Cricetulus griseus: one gene and its partners. The protein of the gene in region 3 purifies or fractionates together with the protein of the main gene of each other region. This does not show direct contact. Links are inferred from orthologs where the notes say so. Each region holds a gene or a part of one and is shown on either strand. Other genes may lie near its edges.

What was found.
Region 1: the proteins of Sgf29 (region 3) and Zzz3 purify together in Homo sapiens (affinity purification with mass spectrometry; 7 studies listed by BioGRID and IntAct, counting the BioPlex papers as one, with this or other methods). This does not show direct contact. The link is inferred for Cricetulus griseus from reciprocal best matches to the Homo sapiens genes SGF29 and ZZZ3.
Region 2: the proteins of Sgf29 (region 3) and Taf6l purify together in Homo sapiens (affinity purification with mass spectrometry; 4 studies listed by BioGRID and IntAct, counting the BioPlex papers as one, with this or other methods). This does not show direct contact. The link is inferred for Cricetulus griseus from reciprocal best matches to the Homo sapiens genes SGF29 and TAF6L.

Annotation. Positions count from the first base shown.
Region 1 is NW_023276806.1:6,892,545-6,896,193, forward strand, and holds part of Zzz3 (ZZ-type zinc finger-containing protein 3), read right to left. Parts: coding exon 3,601-3,649; intron 1,358-3,600; coding exon 1,210-1,357; intron 1,124-1,209; coding exon 1,008-1,123; intron 447-1,007; coding exon 375-446; intron 1-374.
Region 2 is NC_048596.1:51,305,895-51,310,020, forward strand, and holds the start of Taf6l (TAF6-like RNA polymerase II p300/CBP-associated factor-associated factor 65 kDa subunit 6L), read left to right. Parts: upstream 1-1,194; 5' UTR 1,195-1,342; intron 1,343-1,436; exon of another isoform or gene 1,437-1,492; intron 1,493-2,764; 5' UTR 2,765-2,813; coding exon 2,814-2,821; intron 2,822-4,126. UniProt on the Homo sapiens protein: Functions as a component of the PCAF complex. The PCAF complex is capable of efficiently acetylating histones in a nucleosomal context. The PCAF complex could be considered as the human version of the yeast SAGA complex.
Region 3 is NC_048596.1:74,084,052-74,087,700, forward strand, and holds part of Sgf29 (SAGA-associated factor 29), read right to left. Parts: intron 1,759-3,649; coding exon 1,683-1,758; intron 760-1,682; coding exon 687-759; intron 1-686. UniProt on the Homo sapiens protein: Chromatin reader component of some histone acetyltransferase (HAT) SAGA-type complexes like the TFTC-HAT, ATAC or STAGA complexes.

The DNA of each region.
Region 1 (3,649 bases), on a different chromosome or scaffold from region 3:
ACTCCATACACAACCTAACTAAATACACAACATCAAGGTCACACTTCACTACAGCTGGGCAACACCAGCCCTTAGCACAGGCAATCTGAGACAACAGAAATTAAAATGCAACTTGAAGGGGCTCTGCATGTCCTGAGGGTTTTCCCAAACCCAGGGTTTCTCTCTAAGAATTAATCCTAAAAATAGTTCATGCATCTTCAAAATCCAAAACTCTCAAACTATGCAAAAGGGATAGAAAAGTAACTCTACACATTTTAAACTCATGATTAAAAGGAATTACAATGCAACAGTAAACACTTGCCTGGCAGTGCTAATTTTACTATTAACAGTTCAGATTGTCATTAAACCCAAACAAGCTAGACGTATGTATTTACCTGTTCTTCAACAGTCCACAGCTGGTTGAATGTTTCAGGTTTGGTGTCATCACACAGGCGACCTCTTATCATCTGCATATAAAAGAAGGCTTTTATAAATGGAAAACAGCAAGGATATAGCTAAAGAACACACAAGGAATGTTTCACAATTTCCAAAATATCTTTGCGTATTTTTAACACATATACCACCTATTTACTGATTAATTTTTTTTATATTCTTATATTTCATTTGGTTTTAAACTCTTCACAATCCTCAAATAAACAACAAGAAGTGTGGGTTCAAAACTGAAAAGTAACAATTCCTACAGAGACAAAGCCATACCTCAAATCCTGGTCACACTCCACAGTGCCACTGGTACTGGGCAAGGTACCCACAATGCCCATTTAAAACCCATAAAGACTCTACAATATAACCAATACCAATTACATTTTATAAGAGGCTGCAACTTGAAGACCAGAACATACACAACAACTGAGGTGTCAGAGCTAGCAGTTTGGACGCAGATTTAGGTTTCTGGTTAACTGGAAAGTTTACGTTCCCATTATTTTTCAGTGAACAGCTCTCCATTTTAAGAACACAATTCAACAGAACGTTAAATACTTTCATGCTTTCACGCATTTCATACCACTCACCTGAGGGCGACTATGGGAGCCTTCTGGACCGTCACTCAAAGGCAACACGGAGTAAGAGAGGGGCTCTCCATCCTTCTTAAGATCTAAAGGACTTTTTGGTCTAGCAGGCAAGCCTACTAAAAATAAAATCACATACAGAATTATTCAAGCAAGACACTGCAAGACATCTTCCTCATGAAATTCTCACCGTGTGAGTTCTTACCTTTATCGAAAACTAACTTAACTCTTCTAGAATGTCTTTTGCGATTTTTAAATTCTCTTTCGAAGTTCCCAAGGCTGTTGGTATACTGGTCCCACACAATCTCAGGCAACTGAACAACTCTCTGTGGGTATGGAAGCCCTATATCGGCCTGGGAAAAAAGACAAAATACAAATATCAGAGTGCCAATCTACATTTAACTCAAGGGGATAATCAGTAGAATAAAATGCAAGAGACACACTGTAAACACTATTCCTAGTGCTAAATATGAACTATGTATAAAGAAATACAGGATCGCATCACTAGCAACTCTACACAGGAACACCAAACCCCCACCAGTTCTACTAACAAGCACCCTGAGTGTGCGGAATGCAACACGTGAGACACATTTTGGCATTTAGCCTCAAGGTTGTGGCTTATCTGTAACACAGTAAAAATGAATTCACAATCTAAAGTCTTTTTCTTTCGGGCACTGTTGGGCTTTGTACAAAACATGTGCACCCAGCAGCACATAGCTACATCCCTTGCTTCAATTATGACACCTTAGAAATGAAACTTCCAAATTAAATCTAGGACAAACAAGTCTTCCTAAGCAACACAAACTTTGTTTCTGTATTGAGTATCTGGGTTTAATCTTTGTAAAAAGTTAAGATGCTCACTAACACATCTGTTTCAGAATTTTAAAAGAATTCTAAATTTAACCTGGAAATGAAAAACAAGCAAACAGCCAAATGAATATAAATCTAGTAAGTATGCCTAGATGTATGTTTTTGCTCACCAGAAAAGAGATTAAAGTTAATACATTTATTATTTATTTCTTTTTATTTTTTATTTTTTGGTTTTTCGAGACAGGGTTTCTCTGTGGCTTTGGAGGCTGTCCTGGCATTTGCTCTGGAGATCAGGCTGGCCTCGAACTCACAGAGATCCGCCTGCCTTTGCCTCCCCAGTGCTGGGATTAAAGGCGTGCGCCACCAACGCCCGGCTTTGTTATTTATTTCTCTAACAGTTTTAATTTGCCAAAAATTGCCATCTTAAGAACAATGTCTTTGTGCTCAAGCAAACTTTAATACTGATAAAAGATGGACTTTTTTTTCCCATTTATTTATTTTAATGTCTTAAGCTTTTGTTGTTTAGGGTACTTTTTGTTTTCTTAACCAGTGTCTCTTGTAGCGACCTCAAATCTGATTAGTAGGTTTGAGGGCGACCTTCATCAACTCAGGACCCTCACTCGTAAGGCAATTTTGGATTCTAAATCTGCACCACCACTCTGGACCGAGGGGATCCCTATTTCAGAGAGAAAGTATAATACAGCTCTGAAACCAGTTTTGAATAATCGACGGGTAGATTATGCCTGTACTATGGAATGTAGCGTGGTCTGAGACCAGACAAAGAACAGTGTGTTGATTAATCACACTTCTCAGTTACCCCGGGTTCACTACATAGAGAAGCACTCACAGATTTGGTTTTAATGTTTTCACACAATGCTAATGTTGAGGCTTTCAAATATGTGAAGCAAGGTTCAGAGGCAGTAGAGCACTTTTGTACACAGGGTCTTGGTTCCATCCCTTGGTTGTACCAGAGAACAACACCCCCACACAATGTACTTATGTGTTTAATGCTGATTAGTTAGGGGGCTCCCTAATTTGAGGCACTTAGAGTATATTTGAATGGCTCACTGTTAAAATTTGTTTCAAATAAAAAGGAAAACTAGCTAGTTTCACACAAAGGAAAAAAAGAAACCTCTTTCAAAATTAAATGAAATTCATAGTTTCTCTTCATAGACTTGGTTATACTCTAAACATGTATAAAATAAATTTTTGTGTCGTCTCTGTATTATAAACATTTGCTTTTCCTTTCAGTAGCAAATGCAACCCAAACAAAAGCAGTTAATAATTAATAAGTCCTCTGCACCAGGCCTCAGAGCAGCAATAATCCTGAAGTCCCGGAAGCAGGAGGAAGTGACAAGTGGAGAACAGACAAAGAATGTGAAAAATTGCTCTGTTCACACAGACAATGAGAGAGCTCAGCTCTTTCCATCTGGGCAAAAGTCACTGTGTGTTGGACAGGGAAAGAAGATGTCGCTTTGGTAACAGGATTAAACTGGAAGGGGGTGAAGTTAAATATTTTTTTTGTTTTGTTTTGTTTCTGTTTTGGGGGGGGGGGGACAGGTTTTCTCTGTATAACAGTCCTGGCTGTTGTGGAACTTGCTATGTAGAACAAGCTGGCCCCAAACTCAGAGAGATCCATCGCTGTGATTAAGGTGTGTGCCACCACCACCTGGCAAGTTAAATATTCTTAAAGCACAGACTCACAGAAAAAGAAACATAATTATCTTAAATTACCAGGTACACTCCAATACATGTTTAAAAGTATCAAAGTACATTTTTGGGTTACCTTCTTCTGGAGTTTTTCCACAAATCCAATAGGATTTTTTAGTGCTTCT
Region 2 (4,126 bases), about 23 Mb from region 3:
TGTATTCACCAAAGACCAGACTGACAGAAATGGAAGATTTAACAGGAGACACCACCAACGCTGGAGGTGTGGGAATTCAAAGATTGCACCTGACATAATGTGTTCCCAGTGTTAGCTCTTTACAGGGTTTAATGGAAATTTCTTAGGTCTGACAGGTGGGACACTTGTGGGAGGGAGCTCCATCTTGCTTAGGTGACATGACATTGTTGAGGACTAACTTTTACAGAGTGGGATGCCTGCAGTTGGGACTGGCCATCTGTCCGATGCAGGCATGTGCTATTAGGGGTCAAACTTGTGAAAGTGTAAATCTGCTCATTAGACGGTGGAATTCTCTGTATGATAATCAGGTTATGCAAGATAAAGTGTAGTCAGGGCTCCCCTCCCTCTTCCCTTCCTTTCCTGGGACTCACTCTGTAGACCATGCTGGCCTCGAACTCACAGAGTGCTGGGATTAAAGGCGTGTGCAACTATCGCCTGGCTGTACCTTCTGATTTTTGCTTCTCACGATGTGCCTCCCACCCCCAAAGCTGGCTTCAGACTCTCTGTGTAGACCAGGCTGGTCTCGAACAAACAAAAATCCTCCTGCCTTTGCTTCCTCAGTGCTGAGATTGAAGGTGTGCACCACCACACCCGGCCAGAGGTCCCTTCTGTCCACGGGGAAACATCTCCTGGGCCCCCATCTATTCTTCTGGGAAGGGGAAAAAGTAGCAGTTGCTGTTGGGGGCATTATTATTATTATTATTATTATTATTATTATTATTATTATTTATTTTCGAGACAGGGTTTCTCTGTGTAGCTTTGGAGCCTATCCTGGCACTCGCTCTGTAGACTAAGCTGGTCTTGTACTCACAGAGATCCACCTGCCTCTGCCCCCCGAGTGCTGGGATTAAAGGCGTGTGCCACCAACGCCCGGCTTGTTGGGGGCATTAAGCTAAGTCATGTACCGAAAGCTTTACTGTGATCCAAAAAACTTGTATACTCTGGGATAGCCGACTCAAGGGATGGAGGACTGTCTCTATGGAGAAGGTGTTAACTCCAGGCAACCCCGGGCACAGCACCTGCTAGCCAAACAAGAGCTGCTGCTTTAAGAAGCGCTATTCACGTGACCAACGACGCCTCGGTGCCTTCTCCACATATTCACACTGACCAATCCTGAGGCGGGACGGCCGCTGGTGGGCGGGAAGCTCAGGAGACAGCTGCCGATTGGCTCCGCGTACTGAGGGCGGAGCCTGGGCTCCGAGAGAGGGAATTAGCGAGAGCCGGTGAGTGGAAGCCGCCGCCGCCGCCGCCGCCTCCGCCGCCTCCCCGGTAGGCAGGGTCCTCGCATCGCCGGAGTCCGCAGGTGAGCAGGCTTCTTCGCGTCCGTGCTGGGCTGCTCACCAGCCTCGGGGCCCGCGGGGGCCCGCCCGCCCGCCTCACCGAGCACGTGACACAAGTTCCGTAACCCTTGACCTCCCCACTCCACCCCACGCCCTCTGGATCTGGGATGAAGGTGGGTCGGAGGATGCGCAACCCACAGGCCCGAGGAGGCCGGTTCTCACGCTTCCTGGTCAGCACTGGGAACTGAGGCTGTGCAAGACCTTGGTCACAGTCAGGACTTTGAGGTCTCAATAGGGGAACATAATAGAGCAACTCCCTACTGGCTTTTCAAATGCTCACGACTGAGTGCTCCCATTTTACAGATGGGAAAACTGAAGGGTACTCATCCCATCCAGTGGTGAATCTAAAGGTGGGACTTGGGTTACAAAGCCAGGCCTAGTTCAAACATAAGCCTGCTCCTGGTATATATATAGCATCCTGAGTATATTTTGGTTTTTCGAGACAGGTTTTCTCTGTGGCTTTGGAGGCTGTCCTGGAGCTCACTCTTGAGACCAGTCTGGTCTCGAACTCACAGATCCCCCCCGCCTATGCCTCCCGAGTGCTGGAATCAAAGGCGTGCGCCGCCACTGCCCAGCATCTGAGTTAATTTAAAACAAGGGTTTGAGTCCCTGACATCTAATTACTCAATGCTTGCTGGCTTGTCTTGGACAATCTAGGTAACCTTTCTGAGCTATCTCTCGTGGCTTTGTAAACTAGACAAAAATGTACACTATCTATCTTGTTAGCGAGGATAGGAGGAGGTCATAGAGTGTTGCTACTTGGAAGCCACAAACATTTATGTGCTTAGAGCTGGGGGCTGGAGAGATGACTCAGAGGTTACGAGCACTGCTGCTCTTCCAGAGATTCTGAGTTCAATTCCCAGCAACCACGTAGTGGCTCACAACCATCTGTAGTGGGATTCTGATGCGCTCTTCTGGCATAAAGGTGTACATGCAGACAGAGCACTCATTCATAAAATAATAAATCTTTAAAAAACCAAACAAAATAAATAAGACATATTTTTTAAAATTCGGCAGAGAAATAGCTGGGCTGAAGAGATGGCTCAGCAGTTAAGAGCACTGGCTGCTCTTGCAGATGACCCAGGTTTGATTCCCAGCACCCACATGGCAGCTCACAACTGTCTATAACTCCAGTTATAGGGGATCTGTCACCTCACACAGACATAACACAGGCAAAACACCAGTGCACATAAAAATAAGTTAAAGAAAAAAAAAAGAAAAATAGTTATTCTAGGCCAGGAGTAGTGGTGCACATGTTTAATCCCAGCATTGGGGAGGCAGAGGCAGGAAGTTTGAGGCTAGCCTGATCTACAGAGAGAGTTCCAGGGCTAAATAGAGAGACTTTGTCTCCAAAACAAATGAATACCTGCTCTTTCTTTTTTCAGCAGGTGTTAATGAAGGCATAATATGTGCTGACATTGCTGGTCGCTTGGGATGCAAAGGTGAGCACACAGACCATGATCTTTGCTGGTGTGCAGCTTACAGTCTACTAGGGACCACACGCTGGTCCCCAGTGCCGCTTTAAAAAGAGTGGGAATGATGGCGAAAAGCTGTGTGTAGTGAGCTTGCAGCCCGCCCCAGCATGCCAAGATAGGTGGTGGGTTCCTGGAGCTTGCTGACCAGCCAGCCTAAGCTAATCTGTGGACCTCAGGTTCCAGTGCGAGACCCTGTCTGAAAAAATAAAGTGGACAGCTCCTCAGGGGGTATGTTACCCAAGGTTGTCTTCTGTAAACTCATACACAAAAGCTATGCAGCTGTGTAGTTACAGACTGTTTGAACCTAGGGCTCACACATGCTCGGAAATATTTCTACAACTGAGTTGTATCTTCAGTCTTCTTTCTTTAATTTTTTTTTCTTTCTTTTTTTTTTTTTTGAGACAGGGTTTCTCTGTATTGCTTTGGAGGTTGTCTTAGAACTCGCTCTGTAGACCAGGCTGGCCTGGAACTCAGAGATCCGCCTACCTCTGCCTCCTGAGTGCTGGGATTAAAGGCGTGAGCCACCAATGCCTGGCTTCTTTACTTCTTTTCTTTTCTTTTTGTGTGTGTGTTTTAGTTTTTCTTTTCTTTCTTTCTTTCTTTTTTTTTTTTTTTTGGTTTGTCGAGACAGGGTTTCTCTGTGGCTTTGGAGGCTGTCCTGGAACTAGCTCTTGTAGACCAGGCTGGTCTCGAACTCAGAGATGTATCTGCCTTGCTTTCTGAATGCTGGGATTAAGGGTGTGCACCATCACTTCAGCTCCAGTCTTCTTTTTACATTTTATTTTGAGATAGTCTGAGTTGTTAGGGTAACCTTGAACTCACTTCATAGTTCAAGTGGGCTTTGAACTATCCATGCTCCTGCCTCAGAGTTGCTTTAAAAACAAATGATGGGGACATTTACACAATCTGGGAAGAGCTTCCTTAGCAAGTGACATCTGAACTATGATCTGAAGGGGGTAAGTGATTGATCGAGATTTGGGGAGAACAACAAAGAAGGAGAGTGTCAGACAGAAGCAGCAGAATGGATTGAGGCCTTGAAATAAGGAATTGAAAGGTAGCCACATGTAGACACACAGAACACAAGGGAAGAAGCAGTGAGTTTTGCAGATAGACGGCGCATGCATAGCCTTTCTAGCGTGGGCCGGTTTTACTCCATTTTTCTAAAAGCAATGGGGGACCACTGGGAGGAGGGCGATGGGGCTATGTGGGTTGCCCCATTGGTTTTAGAGATGAAGAATGATGAGTCTTTGATGGAGCCCTGGGAGCATGCCT
Region 3 (3,649 bases):
GTAAATGGGGACAATACTAAAAACTACATCAAAGGAATGCTTTGAGGATCAAGTGAAGTAAATAAACACAAAGTATTTGGGCCAGGTATAGTGGAACATGTCTAGGGAGGCAAAGGCAGGACAATCTCTGTGAGTTGGAGGCCAGCCTGGTCTACATAGTGAATTCCAGAACAATAAGAGCTACATTATGGGACTCTGTTTCAAAAATAAAAAAATTAAGAAAGTACTTGGAATGGTACCAGGTAGTGCCAGGTAGTGGTCCTTGTTACCATTACAGGCTGCAATAGTCGGCATATTCCCATGGCAGGGGAGGGTCAGAACAGTTGATAGAATCTGTCATTCTCTCCACATAATCCCACTGTATGCTCACAATCCAGCAGGGAGTTATTACCCTGATTTTAATGACAAAGCAACGGGGTTTCAAGTGAATTGACTACCAGGTCATGTGACTAGGAAATGGTATGCAGGGACACAACACTGCTTTACTGTCATCTACAAGGCAATAAGATACAGGAGAGGAATGGATAAAGAAGGAAGAGCTTGGGAAGGTTCAAGCAATGGGAGAGGCAGAGTAGGAGGACCCTCTTCACAGACAGAAGGCAGCTGGGGCTGTGGCCTCGGGAATATGTGGTCCAGCACCAGACGTCAGGGAACAGAGCAGCAACAGCCCTGTGGGCATTACTCACTTGCACTCAGCCTCCGCATCAGCCTTGGCGGTTGTGTAGAGGCCACGCAACTTTGTCCGGTAATAAGGAGAAACTATAAACACAAGCATGAGGAGACATGAGCAAGAGGAGGTGGCAGCATGCAACCCTGATTCCAGGACATCAGAATCAGCTTGAAGAGGCTCAGAGGTCAAGGTCTGAGCTTTATCACTTCAAACATGCTCCCAGGAAGTTAGTAAGATGATTCTGTCTGTAAAATACTTGCCTTGAAAGTACCAGGAACCAAGCTCTATCACCAGAACCTAAGTAAAAAAAAAAAAAAGCCAGGCATCCCAGATGTGTAGCATTTGCTTTAATCTCGGCACTTGCAGAGGCAGGTGGATATCTATAAACTGAAAGCCAGCCTGGCCCACACAGAGTTCTAGGACAGTCAGGGTTATCCAGCGAATGAATGGTGAGAAACAAAACATGAGGTTGGCCTTTGCACACATACACATGTGCATACACATATCCCAACATACATTAAAAAAAAAAGTGTTCCCTGTTCAACAGGGCCACATTTCCATATGGTAAAGACGCCACCACCATTCTTAAAAATTGCTTTCTAACCTGCCTCCTGTCCACATCATTACCAAGGAGAAGCAAGTACTGTCCAAAGCTATTCTGAGTTAGAAAGCCCCAGGCACAGGGGGTGACCTGCCTTGGGGCATATGCAGAGGCCATGGGGGAACTCTGCTCCCGAAAAGCCCCATGCCTATGAGCTCTAAGGTAAGGGTGAGTTTTCCTGCTTCAAGGCTGCCTTTCCAGTCCGAGCTGAGAGACTCTGAGGTCCTTTAGTGCAAGGCCAACTGTCTTTAGTCCTGTCACTTTAAGTCATTCAGACAAAGGAACAATGACCCTAAAGAGCAACTTTGGGATATGCAGATACAAGCAAAACTCCCTTTGAAGACACAGTAAGGCCATGCTCCTGGCCTCAGCCATTCCCACTTCCTTTCTCTTCTGCCCTCAGGTACTCACTCTTGTTCTCAGTCTGCATTCGCTCGTGGGTTTTCTGGATGTTCACCAAGTTGTGCTCACTCCTCGAGCGTTCTTCCTAGAAAGATAAGGTCAAGAGACCATGAAGTAGACCATTTACCCTAACAAAAGCTCCCTGTTTACATGAAGACCTCCTCTGTGTAATTCTGTCCTGTGGGTTTTGACAGACGCTTCGGTTACATACCTATCATTACAGTATCATACACAAGAGTCCTACCTCCCCAGACATCCTCCCTGCTCCTCTAACTCTTGCATCCATCCCAACTATCCCAAGGCTCTGCCAATGACATCATTTTACTTTTACTTTCTCTAGTTTCTCCTTTCTGGAGTTTGTCACACAGTTGGAATGAAGCATATATGTAACCCACTGGGATCTTTCATTAAGCAAATATTCGCTAGTATTTTACAATTATTTTTCAGGGTATACCAACTAGTATGTCCCAGAGAGGAATTCCTGGGAATTGCTCCCTACTGGTTCACTAGACCATGTGGTCCAGCAGAACCACCAGTGTGTAACTGACTATAAATATCAATAAGCCAGACGTGGTGGCACACACCTTTAATACCAACACTCAGGAGGCAGATAGGTCTCTAAGAGTTCTTGGCCACCCTGGTTTACATAGCAAGTTCCAGGTCAACCAGAGCTACATAGAGAGACCCTGCCTCAAAAAAGCAAAACAACACACACACACACACACACACACTTCAATGAGCAAATGCTTGGAACGGTAATAATGGACAAAACAGAGCAATGGCATGCTCAACATGCCACACGGCATGCTACAGGCACAAACACATATCATGCTTTATTTGTGAATGAAAGAAAAGCTATTTTAATATATAGGAGGAAATGAGATTTAGACCATTGGCTGCTATTCCAGCGGACCCAGGTTCTAGTCCTAGCACCCATGTGGCAGCTCACAACTGTCTATAACTAGAGCTTCAGGGGGTCTGACAACCCCTTCTGGCCTCTAGAGGCACCAAGTATGCATGTAGTGAACAAACATACATGTAGGCACTCACCCATAATCATAAAATAAAATTAGTCTGGAAAAAAAAGTAGAGGCATCACCTGGCAGATTCAATTCCTTGGTACTACATGCAGGACAAATAAACATACATGTGACTATCACCTTTTAGTCCTAGAATGAGGCACTGTACTTGTTCTGGTTTGACACTTTACTATTCCTATGCTATCAGTATACATCTGCAACATGAGTGGCAGAGTAAACACTGACCCACAGACAGAGAGGGCTTTGGTGATGCCTATGCCTTGTGGGACAAGACAAATTCATGATGAATGAGGAGCTGCATTCAGAGGGAAAGTATTTGTTAATTAGAATAAGAAGATCAACGTGAGTTCTCTTACAGGAAAAAGGCCAATGGAAGTCAATCTAGAAATAGTGAGGGCCTCTAGAGTCAGGCAGGACCAGCAAAAATGCTAAAACCATCCATCATGGGGAAAGAAAGGCCTTAAACACTGACCCAACAGAGCAGAGCTATTTTGAACAGACAGAGGCCAGAGAAGGCAAAAGACAAAGGCCTTCCACCCTCAATGCTATAGCCCATAGGTACACTTATGGTACTCTTGTGGACCTCCAGGGTACCTGTAATACAGTGATGCATCATGACTACACCTGGACCAGTAACAGAGAAACCTAAGCTACATCCTGAAGCAATGTCAATACCAATAAGAATTATTCTAAACACCACCTGCGTCTGTCTCAAGGGAAGGTGGTAGACTTTAGTATGTAGTGCCAAGGACTGAGGCAAGGTGACTGGGTTTGTTTTCAACTGAGCTGCAGCCCAGAAATAGGCAGCCACAGGCCAGGGTAGTAATCTGGGCAGCAGGGGATTAACAGGGTTAACTCAGCAGGCTGGGTTATCTAAACCCCACACATTTCAAAGTGCTTTATCCTTTGAGTAGATCCTGGAAGTTAAATCTTTTG